2 linked regions of the Alligator mississippiensis genome follow. The protein of the gene in region 1 interacts with the protein of each later gene in a pairwise test. Links are inferred from orthologs where the notes say so. Each region holds a gene or a part of one and is shown in the gene's direction. Other genes may lie near its edges.

Evidence for each region.
Region 2: the proteins of HOMEZ (region 1) and PIN1 interact in binary tests that used the Homo sapiens proteins (3 or more experiments, as listed by UniProt). The two-hybrid records come from large-scale screens. The link is inferred for Alligator mississippiensis from reciprocal best matches to the Homo sapiens genes HOMEZ and PIN1.

What each region holds. Positions count from the first base shown.
Region 1 is NC_081830.1:7,415,788-7,423,253, reverse strand, and holds the start of HOMEZ (homeobox and leucine zipper protein Homez), read left to right. Parts: upstream 1-4,457; 5' UTR 4,458-4,842; intron 4,843-5,284; exon of another isoform or gene 5,285-6,221; intron 6,222-7,466. Other genes in the region: PPP1R3E (protein phosphatase 1 regulatory subunit 3E), read left to right, coding at 2,073-2,516, 2,944-3,417. UniProt on the Homo sapiens protein: May function as a transcriptional regulator.
Region 2 is NC_081831.1:22,016,046-22,023,968, forward strand, and holds the start of PIN1 (peptidyl-prolyl cis-trans isomerase NIMA-interacting 1), read left to right. Parts: upstream 1-4,910; 5' UTR 4,911-4,962; coding exon 4,963-5,020; intron 5,021-6,736; coding exon 6,737-6,937; intron 6,938-7,923. Other genes in the region: UBL5 (ubiquitin-like protein 5), read left to right, coding at 1-32, 695-732, 1,286-1,329. UniProt on the Homo sapiens protein: Peptidyl-prolyl cis/trans isomerase (PPIase) that binds to and isomerizes specific phosphorylated Ser/Thr-Pro (pSer/Thr-Pro) motifs.

The sequences.
Region 1 (7,466 bases):
TGGGGATGTCGGGGCTCCCACGCCTTGGAGCCCTGCATCCTCCCTCAGCAACATGGCTGCCATCCCGCTTGCCCCGTTGACCCCAAAGCAATGGATAGGGTAGGCCAAGAGGCTCACCCTGCTGACAGGATGCCAACCCATTGACATCAACCCAACATGGCCGCCCATTGGCAACAGCATTGGCAAGACAGCCTGAGGGGTAGGGCCCTGCTCCCTCACCACTGCATGGAGGCAATGTGGTTGCTGTGGGCATGGCCAGGGGACCAACATGACTGCCCTTGGCGTGAGCAGGCACTGCCCTACCCCCAACTGGGAGGGTGCGGTAGCCGGAGAAGGCTGCAGCCTGGGCATCTCATTCATTATTCATGCACCAGCATCTTCTTTGCATGATTAATGACTCCAGAAGCTCGTTAGCCTCTTAACCCGGCTGGCCCACAACAATATGGGCACTGTGTCTACATGGTGCCCCTCACTCCTAGCCGACAGCCCTGCTGTTGCCCTTCACTCCTGAATGGCAGCCTATGGGTGCCCCTCACTCCCAACCTGCAGCCCACTGCACCACCCTGGTACCCCGCACTCCTGACCTGCAGCCCAGGTTTGTTGGCGGGGGGGCAGGGCAGTCCCAAGCTAGTTCTGGGCTTCCATTAGCTATTTCACCTCCTTTATTATTGATCCTGGTTGCTGGCCTTTTGCCTGGCAGGGACTTGCTGTTCCAGGCTTGCCTGGATGCCTGGGTCCCTTCTGCCTTAACCCTTCATGCTCTGGGGAAGCTCCCTGCTGCCCTCTGCTCCCTCCCCATTCCTCCACAGGGCTGGCTGATCAGGGCCTAGGGTGGAGAGGTGATCCCCAAGTAGACTTGCAGGCTGCTGGGATGGAGGGATGTTGAAAGAAAGGCAGGAGGAGAAAGAGAATAAAGGAGGGAGGGAGGAGCTGGCACAGATGGGTCAGAAGAGGCAGAAGAGAAAGGGAAGGAGAAAGCCTGTTGGTGGAAAGGGAGATCGAGATTCAGGGCCAGGCGGAGCAATACATCACACAGAGGGAGAGACAGGAGACGGGAGCCCTGGCAGAGGAGAAGACAGAGGGCGGAGGGACAGAGACAGAACCAGGCAGCGCTCAGACGGACAGAGACCAGGAGGAAGACGGTGTGACAAAAAGACAGGCCCAGACAGAGGAACAGAGCCAAGCCCGTTGGAAGGAAAGGTGAAAGACCATCTGATGGAGAGATATGAGGCAGAGCCTTGCTGAAGGGACAGCACTGGGCTCTGGGAAAGCAGGGAATGTGGAAGACCATGTAATGGAGCAATAGGGAGAGTAACGGGTGGCTCAGGGGAAGGAAATGTGGACACCTGCCTGACGGAGAGAGACAAGACAGACCCAGCCAGAGAGGTAGACCCAGGCACGCCGGAAGGTGGAAGATTGCATGACGGAGAAACAGCTTTTGTGAAGCTGGAAAGAAAGAACAAGACAGGCCCCAGGTACAGAGAGAACTTGAAGAAGGGAGTGCGGGAGGCAGCGTGGTGGAGAGAGAGACCACAGGACAGAGCTCTGATGGAGGGCTAAAGCTGGGCTGGCTGGAAAGAGCGAGCGTGGGAGGACACGGAGCCCAGGTGGAGTGAAGGGCTGGGAAGGAGGGAACATGCCAGGCTGGTGATGGAAGGATAGGACACGGAGCCTGCTGAAGCAAGACCTTCGGAAGAAGAGAGTGTGTCTGGCCAGGGACGGAGGAACAGAAGGAGGCGGGGCCTGGGGCAAGAAGGTTTGGAAGGAGGGAATGTGGCAGGCTGTGACAGATGAATAGGAGCGCACAGAGCCTGATGGAGTGAGAGGTTTGGGAGGGAACGTGGCAGGCCAGAGACGGATGAACGGGAGCACACAGAGCCTGGTGGAGTGACAGGTTCGGAAGAATTGAACGGGGAAGACGGTGACGGAGGGATAGAGGGGCACAGCCTGGCAAAGCAAGACTTGGAAGGAGGGAAGGTGGCAGACCTGTGACAGAGGAGTAGAAGGACACAACACCCAGCAGAGTGAGCGCAGGAAGGAGGGAGGGTGCCCAGCAAGCGACAGAGGGGGCCATGGCGGGCACCCCCCCGCCACCGCCACGGGGTGACATCCCGCGCAACCTGAGCTACATCGCGGGGCTGTACGAGCGCGCCTACTACCGCACCGCCCGGCCCAGCCTGGCTGACGACTCGGAGGACTCGGAGCCCGAGGGACGCTCGCGCCGCTCCACCCGGCCCCGTGCCCCCCGGCTCCGTACCCGCCGGACCCGCACCCGCCAGAGCCGTCGGGCTCACTCTGCCCCACCCGGGCCAGGGGCGGGGGCTGGGGGGGGCTCGGGGCGGGCACGCAGCCCCGGGGCGCGCAAGCGGGTACGATTTGCCGACGCACTGGGGCTGGAGCTGGCCAGTGTGCGGCAGTTCTGGCCAGCCCAGCTGCCCGAGGTGCCCGAGCGCGTCCAGGCCCAGCTACGGCGGGACTCCCTCAGCCACTTCCCACCCTGCCTGCCCTACATCAAGGTGAGGGGTGGGGCAACAGGCTGGGGTGGAGCTATGGGATTGCTAGGGGGTGGGGCTACAGACTGGAGAGGTGGGGGGAATGGCAGGGGGCTGGGGGTGAGGCTACAGGCTGTGGGGGCCAGGAGCAGGGGGGCTATGGGATGCCAGGTGTGGGGCTACAGGCTGGGGATGGAGCTGTGAGTGTGTTAGGACAGGGCTATGGGGGGCCTGTGGCTACAGGCTGGGGGGTGGGCTATGGGATGCTGCTGGAGCGGACCTACAGGCTGGGGGAAGGGCTATAAGGGTGCTGGGGATGGGGCTATGAGGCAACTGTGGGGTGGGCCTACAGGCTGGGGGCAGGGCCATTGGGGGTGAAGTGTGTGGCTACAGGCGATGGGGGCAGTGTGCCCACCCATTCGCTGCTGACCACTGTCTCTCTCCCCGGCAGGCAAGCAGTGGGGCAGCGCCGTGGGCATGGGCAGCAGCAGAGGCAGAGGTGGGGGCACGGCTGGCAGCGCAGGCGGTGGCACTGGAAGGGGCACGGGCAGAGGGGGTGGGCGTGGCGGGGACACTACGCGTGCTGGACCTGGCCTATGAAAAGCGGGTGAGCGTGCGCTACACATGGGATGGCTGGGCCAGCAAGCGCGAGGCCCCAGCCGCCTACGCCGGCCCTGCGCCACCCCCCCCTGGTGCCTGCCCACCCGCCGCACCTGGTGCTGACCGCTTTGCCTTCCGCCTGCCCCTGCCACCGCCTGGTGCCACCCTGGAGTTTGCCCTGCGCTACCGTACTGCTGGCGCCGAGTTCTGGGACAACAATGAAGGCCACAACTATGCCCTGCGCCCTACCGTGCCACTTGCTGGCTCCCCCCGTGAGCTGCCCCCTAGTCCCCTGCCCCTTCCTGACTGGAGCCGCTTTGCCTAACACCGCCCCGGTCCCTCCGGGACCTCCACCCAGCTCATGGCCCTCACCCAGACCACTGGTCTTGGCCCCGCGACTCTTAACCTGCACCCTCCACACCCCGCCTCTCCTGCAGGCTCACGGCCCCAGATGGGACCCTGGCCCCAGCCTCCAGCCACAGCCCTGCACATCCCAGCCAGGGCATCCCAGCACACCCCAGGTGGGTCCCCCTCCCCATGATCCCACGAGGCCCGTGACCCCTCCACTACACCCCACTCCGCCAGCCAGGAACACTGGCCTTGGTCCTAGGATCTCAGGTCCCAGCCAGGCCCCCCATCCCCAGCCAGGCCCCCCAGCTGCACCACAAGAAAGTGCCCTGAAATACACTCTGCCCAGAGGCACCCCCTCCTCCCCCCCGCAGCTATGGCCTGATGGGGGGCAGGACTCCCCATCTGCCCCTGAGGGCGGGGCTAGCTACACCTGGGGGGCATAGCCACCAGGGGCTCCTCCCACCAGACCAGAGGCACCCCTGCATGGAGGATGCTGGGCATGGGTGCACCACTGCCATGGAGGCCGCACTGCCTGACAATAAAGACAATGAAGTCTAGACTGGCCAAGCTGGTGTGTCCCTAGTGTTCATCTGTCTACCCACAGCGCGGGGCTGCCCGGGGTGTCTCTGGGACCCCTGTGGGGGGGAGGAGAGAACCCAGGCATCGAGCTCCCAGCCACAGCCGGAGGGGCAAGGGTGCAGAGCTACCACGGGTGACACGTGATGGACCCCAGCCCCATCTCCAGTCATAACTATTGCGCTGCCTCTGTTTTCCCACATGACCCCAGAGGTCTGGGTGCGGGGGGGGGGGGGGTTAGGAGGCGAATCGAGCAAGGGGCAAAGAGAAATGGAGGCCTGGAGGCTGTTCCCCCCTAGCCCTGCTGGTGCCCCTCACTCCCGACCTGCAGCTCCCCCCACCAGGAAGCCAGGGCACAGCTGCAGAAACAAAAGGGGGAGGGATGAAGGGAACCCTGGCGCCCGGGTTCCTAGCTCCTCCCCCCGCCCTTTCACCTCCTAGACCCCGCTCCCCCCACGGGAACCTAGGCGTCCGGGCCGCCTCCCCTCCCCCTCGCGGGGACATCCGGGGTGGCTCGAGCTCTGGCCCAGCCAATGGCCGCCGCCCTCTCCCCCCCTTTGTGTGTCGGAGCTGGGAGAGGACCCAGGCGTCCCAGCCCCCTCCCCGGCTGGAAGAGACCCCGGGCGTCCCGGGCCCCCCCGCGCCCCTAGAGGCTGCAGGGAGGAACCCACGCATCCGAGCCGCTCCAGCTGGAACCCAGGCGTCCGGGGTCCCTTAAAGGGCCAGCGCCGGGCTGGCCCCGCCCCCGCGCGTCCATTTCCCAGGCTGCATCGGGCGGAAAGTCCCAAACTTGGGGGGAAACTGGGGTCGGAGGAGGGGGCCGGTGAGTGGGGGAGGGGCAGGGGCGGGGTCGCGTTTGGGGGTCCCTGGGGGTGGGGGGCGTGCACCTGATTTGGATCGGGGGAGGAGGGGCTGATGGGGGGGGCGGCGGCTGGGAGCCCGGACGCCTGGGTTCTCTCCTGGTCCTGGCACGGCGGGGGGGACACCTGGGTCCCCTCTCTGTTTGGGTTGGGGAGGGAGGAGTGGGGCGGGCTGGAAGCCCAGGTTGTGTCCCAGTTTGTGGGGGTGTGGTTGCTGAGAGTCTGCACACAACGGTGCTCTCCTAGTTTGGGGGGGAAGGCAGGGTTTGCTGGTAGCCCTGATGCCTGGGTTCCCTTTCTGTTTGAAGAGAGAAGAGGAGGGGGCTGCTGGGAGCCCGGATGCCTGGGTTCTCTCCCTGTTTTGGCGGGGGGGGGGGGGGGGGTGAAGGTGGTGCTGGGAGCCCAGATGCCTGGGTTCCCTCCCTGCTGGGGGGTTGATAGTGGGATGTTGGGGACCCAATGGGCTAGACCAACCCAGGTCACCTGCAACTCTGGGCCCTTGGGGGTGGCAGCAGGGCAGGCACCTTCCCCACAGGAGGGGCAGTGCCCACATCCAGCGTGTGGTTCCCCATGGCTCCCTTGGGTGGGTCTGGCACCAAGAGGAGCCACCACCGGGTTCGCTGGCAAGACAGAGAATTGGCCTAGAGCAGAATCGAATCCCATGGCTCTGTTTGCTTAGAAGGGATCCACCAGATCTTTGGCCCTCATGGTGGCGGAGCTAAGCCATCCAGCTCTTTGGGTTGGCACCCTTCAACCCTTGAATGCTCCTGCCACTGACCAATCTGGAGCATGGCACAGCCGAGTTCCCCATCACAATTGGTCTTGGGGTCAGTTCTTGGAGGCCAGATTCCTCTGTGTCTTCTCCTCATGAAGGCCTCTGTGTTTGAGCGGCTTCTCAGTGTTCCCAGTTAAGCTAATGAGTATTGGGGACGGGAAGAAGACGGGAACATGGTTCTTCGGTGTATTGTAGGCCTCCCACTCCTCCTTTCTAGGAGAGCTAGAGGACTTGTATCAGCCTAGAGCAGGGGGTCAAACTCATTGGGGCCAGCTGACCTGTCTGCACGGACAGTTGGGGTGGCCAGGCCTTCTGAAGGCCATGTCCCATTACTGCATGCCCATTATTTCCTGTCCCATTCCTTGCTCAAGAGAGAGCCATCTTCGCAGGAATCATTCCCAAGATGGTGGCCGGCTCCCAAGATGGCCTCTTGAGTGCTGGGGAGCAGCCACAAGATGGCAACTGAGCAGTGACGGAGAGCGTCGCGGGACAGAGGCATCACCGAGCCCAACCATGGGGGTAGACAGAGGGGTTGGATGGTGGTGATGGACCAGCTTCACTTGCCTGGTGAGCACGAGGATACCTGTATCGATGCCCATAGGATGCTGCCAATGGTGGTTAGACGTTGCTCAATAGCTTTGTTTTGGAGGGGGCGGGGAGGTGAAGGCCAAGGGGTGGTTGGTCTGGCTGAGACTTCTAAAGGCAATATATGCCTATTACCTCCTGTTCTGTTCCTTGCTCAAGTGGGAGCCATCTTAATGGGGATTGCTGCCAAGATAGGAGTTGGATCCCAATGTGGCTTCTTGAGTGCCAGAGGCAGCCACAAGATGGCAGTGGTGACAGCAGCAACATTCATCAGATGGAAGCTGTGCTATAGGGAACAAGCAGTGAGGAGAGATGTTGCCCAACGGTAGGGATTGGCAGAGGGTCAGATGGTGGTAGTTGGTCAGCCTCACCTATGACCATGAGGAGAACCAAGTTGGCAAACCTAGGGTGTTGCCAACAGCAATTGAATGATGTTTGATAGCTTCATTGGGGGATGAAGGCCAGGTGGTAGTGATGGTTGCTGGGGTTTTCTCCCAGGGAGGCAGTGGAACAACGTCCAAGGGTCCCTCACCTGGTGATATCTTCTAGCAGTTAGTGCCCACATCTAGCTGTCGTCCATCAGGCCTTGGTTAGATCTTGAAGGAACCTTGGCACTTCCCCACATTGGGTCAAGATCGAGTCAATCCCTTGATCTTGGTTGATGGGCCAAAGAGATCCAGCGGAAGAGATCAAGCCTTGACGATGGCTGGATCTTGAAGGAACCTTGATTGCTTTCCCCTTGTTGAGTCGGGATCAAGTCTGTCCCTCACTGATGGGCTGAAGAGACCAAGCTATGCCCACCAACTCATCACCACTGGTGCCCAGGTTTCCCACAGGCCAGTTCCCGCAGCATGAACAGCTCGTCTGATGTCCCAAACATGAGCAAGGAGGTGCCCAAACCTCCTGGCCCCCAGGTTCCTCTGGCATTACCCCTTTAATTAAACAGGCCATTCTTGGACAATCAACCAGCTTGGTAATGGGTCTTTAGGAGCTGCTTTTGGCAAATAATTCAATTACCAGCTCAATTTTTGTGTTAGGGGGTCAGATCATATGAGCCATCACTTCTCATTCATTTCTTTAGTTGTCTCTGATTAGAGATAAACAAATCCAGGGCTTTTTGTTTTATTTCTCCAGGTAATTAGCATCCGGAGTAATGGCTGTCTCTAATTAGGCTCTGGTCAACTTATTGGCCTCTCTTTAAAAAAATGTTTAATTAGTGGGTATTTA
Region 2 (7,923 bases), on another chromosome or scaffold:
ACCCGCTGGGACAAGATCGTGCTGAAGAAATGGTGAGTGTGGGACTGGGTCAGGTTTGGGCAGCCCAAGGGCTCCTGGCGGCTGCCAGCTTTGGCCCCAGCAGGTAAGTTCCTCCTTTTGTCCTACCCAGGGAGGTTGCCCAAGTCCTGGGTGTTTTTTGATGGGCCCCGGGTTTGATCCAGTCTTTAACTGTAACCATTTCCTTGTGGTGCTGACTGCAGCTGCTCCCCCAGAAGCGCGTGTCCATCAAGGCCGTGGGCTGTGACATGTTGGGGGAAGAGGGGGTTGCTGTGAGGGAGATTTTTTATTAGAAGTTGAAACAAAAACGATGGGTTAGCAGGAGTTGAAATACAGTTAAAACCTTTAGCAAACATTGGATTGAAGTCTTTCTATACCCTGAACTAGAGCTCTTTGTATTTATCCTGTAGGTGAAATGAAGGCTTCTTGTCTTGTAACAGCACCTAGGGTGTCTCTTCCCTTCCATGCTTTTTGGGTTTGATGATTGCTGGCTATGAAAACATTTTGCTTATGAAACTCTGGCCTTCATATCTCAACTGCTCACTTTTTTTTTTATTAAATAATTACTATTGGGAAATATTGATAATACAACAGTAGTCCCTTTATTGGCTCCATTTCCTTTTATTGAACCTTGTAACGAGCTTAGGTGTTTTAACTTCCTTTCAAACTCTTGCAGGTACACCATTTTCAAGGATCACGTTTCACTGGGAGACTGTATCCTTAAGCATCAGAGTGGTCTAGGTAAAATGCATTTTAAAGACATCAGCATCTTTTAAAGCAAACCTTTTAGAAAACAGGTGTCACTCTCTAAGTACTTGAGAGAGAGACACATTGCATGTACACAGTCAGACAGCACCCCTTCCTTATCTGATATTGCTGCTTGTCACTAATGAGATGTCTTGTTTATGTTCTTGGCCACTGATTAATGGTAACGGGTCAGTCATGTAGCACAGTGGTGATTATTTAGGAAATCTCTTGGTACAAACACAAAAAACCCTTTGGATTAACTTCCCAGTTTGTTGCTTCAGACATTAGCACTTACAAGCAGCACATGAGTCTCAGACTCTTTTTTGTGAGGCCAGCAGTTTATCCAGGTTGTGACATGGAATAAGAAGAATCATGTTGCTGAGAACTTGTGCACTTATCTAAGAAGTTTCCTGCTGTTGTTGATTTTTGAATCGTTGGTCTGACAGATGTTCATATCTAACACCCTCTGTTTGTATTTAAATATATTTCCATGGGAATTCCCTTAACTTTTACTCTTCAGATGAAATCCATGATGGCATGAACCTGGAGCTATACTATCAGTAGTTTGGACTTGAGCTGCAATTGTATATGGCAGGCAGCACACTTTCTGCTTTCCTTCTAATATTAAACATGTCTATATATTTCCTTATTTAGTGTAAAGTGCAAGTGAAAAGCTCCAGCTGTGCATATAGTTTAGTCAGAGCTATTTGGCTTTGGCAATAACACAGGCAGCAAACATATAACAAAATTGCTTATGTTCTTAAATTTGTGTTTGTAATAAATGTTTCCTGACAGTTGCAGTGTCCTGTTCATGGCTTTAAGGCAGACAAAATCTCTTTCTTGGTAACTTCCACAGCAAACCTAATTAACATAGCTAGTAGAAGACAGCCTTGAGCTTTCTGAAATAACATGAAAGCTGCTCTATCGCCATCTCCTAGGCTAGACTCATTTTTGGTTGAGAATTGAAAACCCAGAGCAAATGCATTTAATTCAACTTAGAAGCAGTCTGGGTTTTTGTTTGTTTTTTTGGGGGAGGGGAGGGGAGTGGTAATTTATTCTCAACAGAAACTTCAGTGCAGTGGTTAAGGTATGATCTAGACTGACAAATGCAAAAAGCAGTTCCCATTACATGCCTCTAATGGAGCTGCTGACCATTGTGTGTTACGCACTATTGTTTTTCAATGATACTTCAAAAAAAAATCCCACTCTGCACTGCTCATTTAACACAATCGATGTGAATTGCCTTGGGATCCCAGCCAAAGCAACAAGATTGGGAGTGAGACTGGGATGAATGAGAGGAATCCATTACAAAACACTTTAAAAGGAGTATTTCAATGTGTGTGCAGACCCCCAAACCCACTCTTTCATTTTACTGAGCTTATTTCTGTGCTGCTCAGTAATGTGTGTCACGTGCAGTAGAGCAGCTGCCTGCAGTTAATAAGCATGTTTAATCAGCTGAGATTGAAGTTCAGGGCAGCAGCAGGAGATGATTTTGTCTTGATGTTTTCCAGAATTAAATGGCCAATGAGAGAAAGCAGCCTCTCTGTGCATTTCTGAGTCAGCCTAAGCACAGAGGCAGGGATGTTAAATGAGACTCTCTCTTCACAACAGCTGTTCTCTTTCTTATTTAAAGCTTTCCACTGACAAATATGGATGTTTATGGTGCCTTTTAAGTAATTTATTTTCCTGTTGGTGAAAGTAGTGAGTCTTGGACTGTTTCAGAGTCCTTTTAACCAGAAGGCCCAGTGAGGCAAGCTTTCCTAATCATGATATTCCTCAACCCTAACTTTGGAGATGGGTTAAGCAGGAAGTTCAGGTATTCTTCTGAGATCAACATGAGTGCAGCCTCCTGTGGACATGCAGCATTTGTTCAATTGGATCACGGCTTAGAACAGGAAGCAGAGAATTTTGTACCTAAAACTGCAGGGGGAAATTAGGAACTGCCTGGACTGGAATTGAGGCAGGACACCTGCTTTTACTTTTGTATCTTATGAAAAATTGCCAAAAGGAATGTCATAGCTTCGATACGGTATCCCACCCCATACTGGTGAACAAGTTAAGAGGCTGTGATGTGGATGACTGCACAGTCTGGTGGGTGGCGAATTGGCTAGAGGGTCGCACCCAAAGAGTCGTGGTGGATGGGTCGGTCTCGACCTGGAAGGGTGTGGGCAGTGGGGTCCCGCAGGGTTTGGTCCTTGGACCGATACTCTTTAATGTCTTCATCAGCGACTTGGACGAGGGAGTGAAATGTACTCTGTCCAAGTTTGCAGATGACACAAAGCTATGGGGAGAAGTGGACACACCGGAGGGCAGGGAACAGCTGCAGGCAGACCTGGATAGGTTGCACAAGTGGGCAGAAAACAACAGGATGCAGTTCAACAAGGAGAAATGCAAAGTGCTGCACCTAGGGAGGAAAAATGTCCAGCACACCTACAGCCTAGGGAATGACCTGCTGGGTGGCACAGAGGTGGAAAGGGATCTTGGAGTCCTAGTGGACTCCAAGATGAACATGAGCCGGCAGTGTGACGAAGCCATCAGAAAAGCCAATGGCACTTTATCGTGCATCAGCAGATGCATGACAAATAGGTCCAGGGAGGTGATACTTCCCCTCTATCGGGCATTGGTCAGACTGCAGTTGGAGTACTGCGTGCAATTCTGGGTGCCACACTTCAAGAAGGATGTGGATAACCTGGAGAGGGTCCAGAGAAGGGCAACTCGTATGGTCAAGGGCCTGCAGACCAAGTCCTACGAGGAGAGACTAGAGAAACTGGACCTTTTCAGCCTCCGCAAGAGAAGGTTGAGAGGCGACCTTGTGGCTGCCTATAAGTTCATCACGGGGGCACAGAAGGGAATAGGTGAGGATTTATTCACCAAGGCGCCCCCGGGGGTTACAAGAAACAATGGCCACAAGCTAGCAGAGAGCAGATTTAGACTAGACATTAGGAAGAACTTCTTCACAGTTCGAGTGGCCAAGGTCTGGAACGGGCTCCCAAGGGAGGTGGTGCTCTCCTCTACCCTGGGGGTCTTCAAGAGGAGGTTAGATGAGTATCTAGCTGGGGTCATCTAGACCCAGCACTCTTTCCTGCTTATGCAGGAGGTCAGACTTGATGATCTATTGAAGTCCCTTCCGACTAACATCTATGAATCTAGCTAGAAAAGGTGCATGTCACTAGGAAGGCAGCAGGTGCAGAGCTACTAGCGACTCAGAGGGGAAACTATCAAAATGCAAATTTCTGCAGCTCCCCCCACCACAGGGAGCAGCCAGTTGGCTCCAGCCTGATCAATACAATGAATCAGAAGGCATGTACATTTGCACTTTACACCTCATAGATTAAATCAAAAATCCATAAACTTCATCTCTTGCTGAGCAAAGCTTGTGCACCTATGATTGCATCTGTGCATTTAGTCTGGGGAAGATGCAAACCTCCCTGGCCTTCCGACCTGCACGGCTCTCCTAGAGACAGTGAAGGACAGGCTGGAGAGGGTCCTTCATACTTGAACCTTAGTTTAAGTAACAGCAGGAGCTAGTAAGTGGTAGTCATCGGGACAGCCCGTTTTGCTCCCGTAGGCCTGGCTGGCCCCTTGCAGCACCTGCTGCAGCCTGCTCTTGCTTCTGACTGCTGCAAATCTCCCCTGCCTTCGCCTGCGTCTCGCCGCGGCCCAACCTGGGCGGCTTGGCGATGGGGTCCAGGCCGTATCCAGAGCCCAGGCCGCGAGAGGCACCCGGCCTGCACAGCACCAGCGCCTGCTCCGTGGCTCTGGGTCATTTGCATTTTGCAAGGACGGTCAATTAGCCTCCTGGGGGCGCCCCTGCGCGCTCCCGCGGTTAAGGCACCCCCGACCCCGGCTGGGAACCGGGGCACCTGGCACCGCCTGCACTGAGGCCCCGAGGGCTCCCCGGCACTCCTCAGGCGTTCCGCAACGCCCCTTGTCCCTCCCCGGCCGCCGTCGACATTCGAGCTACCAGAACCTGAATCTCTTCCGAGATTATTGCGGCCTAGCGCTCCGAGTCAATCAGGGCTGGGAGGGAAGGGGAGTGTGTTCTCCACCAATGAGCGACCTGGAGGTGGGACCACGATCCCCTCTGAGCCAATGGCCGTTCGCAGCATCCTGCCCCGGGGCCTTCCTCTAGCCAATGGGTGGCAGCGCGTGCGGCAGCGGGGAAGAGGCTGGGAGGAGGTGCCGCGCGCAGGGAAGATGGCGGAGGAGGAGAAGCTGCCTGCGGGCTGGGAGAAGCGCATGAGCCGCAGCTCAGGTACAGCGGCGCGGTCGGGCGTTCGGCCGCGCGGGGCCGGGGCCGGGCGCTGCGGCTGGGGGGCCGCGAGGCCGGGGCGGGCTGGGCCGGGCCCCTGCGGGGCTTGGGAGGGCGGGGCCGGGCTGTGGGGCCGGGCCGCGCCGCTCTGCTCTTGATGGGGCTTGGTGGGTCCTTTGTGGCCCCGGCAGGGCCCGACCCCGCGGTGCCTCGCTCCTTTCCTCGCCTCGTGCGGGGGGAGGGGCCGGGGAGCTGCCCCGCGCCGGCAGGGGGAGAGGTTCTGGGGAGGGATATGCGTCGTGGGGGCGGGGGGGCGGCTCTGGAAAACGCGCGCTGATCCCGGAGCTCCCTCGGGAGCCCAGGCGGGTCTAGGCCCCTCCCCGGCCAAGCAGAGGTTTGTCCCCTTTGTCGTGAGACTAGAATTGCCTTTTGCTCCTGCCCCCCCTCCCGGTGTACAGAGACCCGGCCGTTGTCGGGGTTTTCGTCCAGTGATTGCAGTGCCCCAGAGCTCTGGACCCGGGCTGGCACCTCTTAGGATGTCGGAGGTGCTCACAATTTGTTTAGTCAGAGTCTGAGCTCCTGCCAGTGCATGAATGAGTGGACCTCATCCTGCGGGTTGGGGACCCTTTACAGTTGGTGCTCCAGCAGTGCTGGGACATTGCTTTAGCTGTCTTGATCTCAGAGCAGTGTCCCCAAACTCTTGGCTGCTTCTGGGAAAGCCTGCCCTTTCCTGATAAAGAAAGGGCTGATTTGTTTTGGAGGAGTGTCTTCCTCACTTCCAGCCTGCAAAGGTCAGTTCAGGGTCAGGGGTCCCTTGTTTGTGTAACACCCAGCATAGTTAGAGGTGATTGCTGCTTTGAAAACTGTGCCCTGTTAACTGAAGGATCTGTTTATTAGGATACTGTTACCCCCTAAATGTATCTAAATACATAGGCAGGCAAGGTTCTTTGAGTAGATGTGATGTTTTTTATTAGACCAACTGAGTACTCAATGGGTCTAATGAAAGATACCACATTTACTCAAAAAACCTTGCCTGTCTATGACCTTAGACCAACACAGCTACAACCAAAAACCCGGTCTAAATAGATAGGGATTTTTGCCATGCTTTGTGCTCTCAGTTGCAAGCTGGATTGGAATGAAACACAATCCCCCTGTGTCAGAAACTCGGCACCGTTCACCTTCGCTGCAGGGGTAAAATGGGCAGAGTTCCACTATGTCGCTGTGCTGCTTCTGAAGATGTGTTGGTGTCATGTGACTCAGGAAAGCTGCAGGCACTTGCTGCTTCCATAAGAATAATCGGTGCTTTACAAATGAGCCAGCCAGCACTTAAGCTGCTGCTGTTTTGGGAAGGTTTCAAGAGTTTTTGACATAGACCCTGATCCCACTTTCACTGAAGTAAAAGTGACTTGCCCAACTTTGGAAAGGGAGATGGTGTCAAGAGTCTGGTTTTGAGTAGAGCAGCTGCTTTGCTCAGGGCATCTTTGTTTCTCACTAGAAAACCTTGGTAGAGAGTTCTAATAGACTGAAATCTGTAATGCTGAGACAGCCTGTTATTATGGGGATGTTAAGTATTCCCAGCCTCTGCACTGATTCTGCAGTGAGCTGACATCCACATTTTCACCCACCTGCAGAAATCCAGAATTTATCTGCTGCGATAAGCAAGAGGCTATTGCTGTGGATCTTCTAAAGACCTGGTTTTCTTTTCCTTCTTGTTTCTAGGCCGTGTGTATTACTTCAACCACATTACGAATGCCAGCCAATGGGAGCGCCCCAGCGGAGGTGGGAAAAATGGCCAGGGGGAGCCGGCCAAAGTGCGCTGCTCACATCTTTTGGTGAAACACAACCAGTCCAGAAGGCCCTCATCATGGAGGCAGGAAAAGATCACACGGACCAAAGATGAGGCACTGGAGCTTATAAATGGCAAGTAAAAGCAGGAGGCAGATTGATGTTATTGTGAGGGAAAGTCATGTTAAGGCCAAAAATGAGCACAGAAATAAGTGGCTTATTGGCCTGAACTCTCTAAATAAAAGTTTTTTGAGGCAAGTGGTTTGAACATGGACTTTCGTGTAGCACAGCCACTTGGAGAAACACTTTTGCTGCATGATTTGCTGATCATGACTAAATGACTTAGGAATAGAACCCTCCCTCCCCCTTCCATCCTCATGCCAGTTTCCCCCTTTATGTTTTTGTAATGTTGTCAGAGGCTTGTTTGTATTTTCTTTGTAAATGTATATTTTTATATTAAAAAATAAAGCAATTATTTGATGCTAAAACAAGTGCTCCTTAAACATCTTCCTTTTTTTGTTTAATATTTATTTGCCTGTTTGTCCTGGTGGCAGTTACTGTAAATTTTGATGAATCTCTGCCTGGGACTGAACCCCAGGTATAAACATCTTGAATATCTGTGGACAAGTAAATTTCTTGGGAGTGAGGGAATTGCATGCCTTTCCTGCTGTATATGGGACCCATCACAAGATACATCTTCCTTTGCAGCGCCAGCAATAGTTTCTAACTATCCTGTTTCCTAATCAGTGAATTTGGGCCTTGTGGGGCAGAATTCTAATTCTGGTTTACTGTTGGCACTCTTCATTGAGTTCGGTGCAAGGGTCAGAGGATCTGTGGTGAAAGTCTCCTGACTTTGCACCATGGCCTGTGTTCCAATCTATAGCAGTCAGTCTTGACTTGTTATGAAAATGAGTTAATATTCTGTGAAGTGCTTTGAAGTTGTAGGCAGACAAGGTTCCTTGGGTGAATTTGATATCTTTTATTAGACCAACCCAAATGGTTGGAGAATAGTTATTAAGCAAGCTTTCGGGTTCAAAAACCCTTCGTCAGGTTTTTGAACCCGAAAGCTTGCTTAATAACTATTCTCCAACCATTTGGGTTGGTCTAATAAAGGATATCAA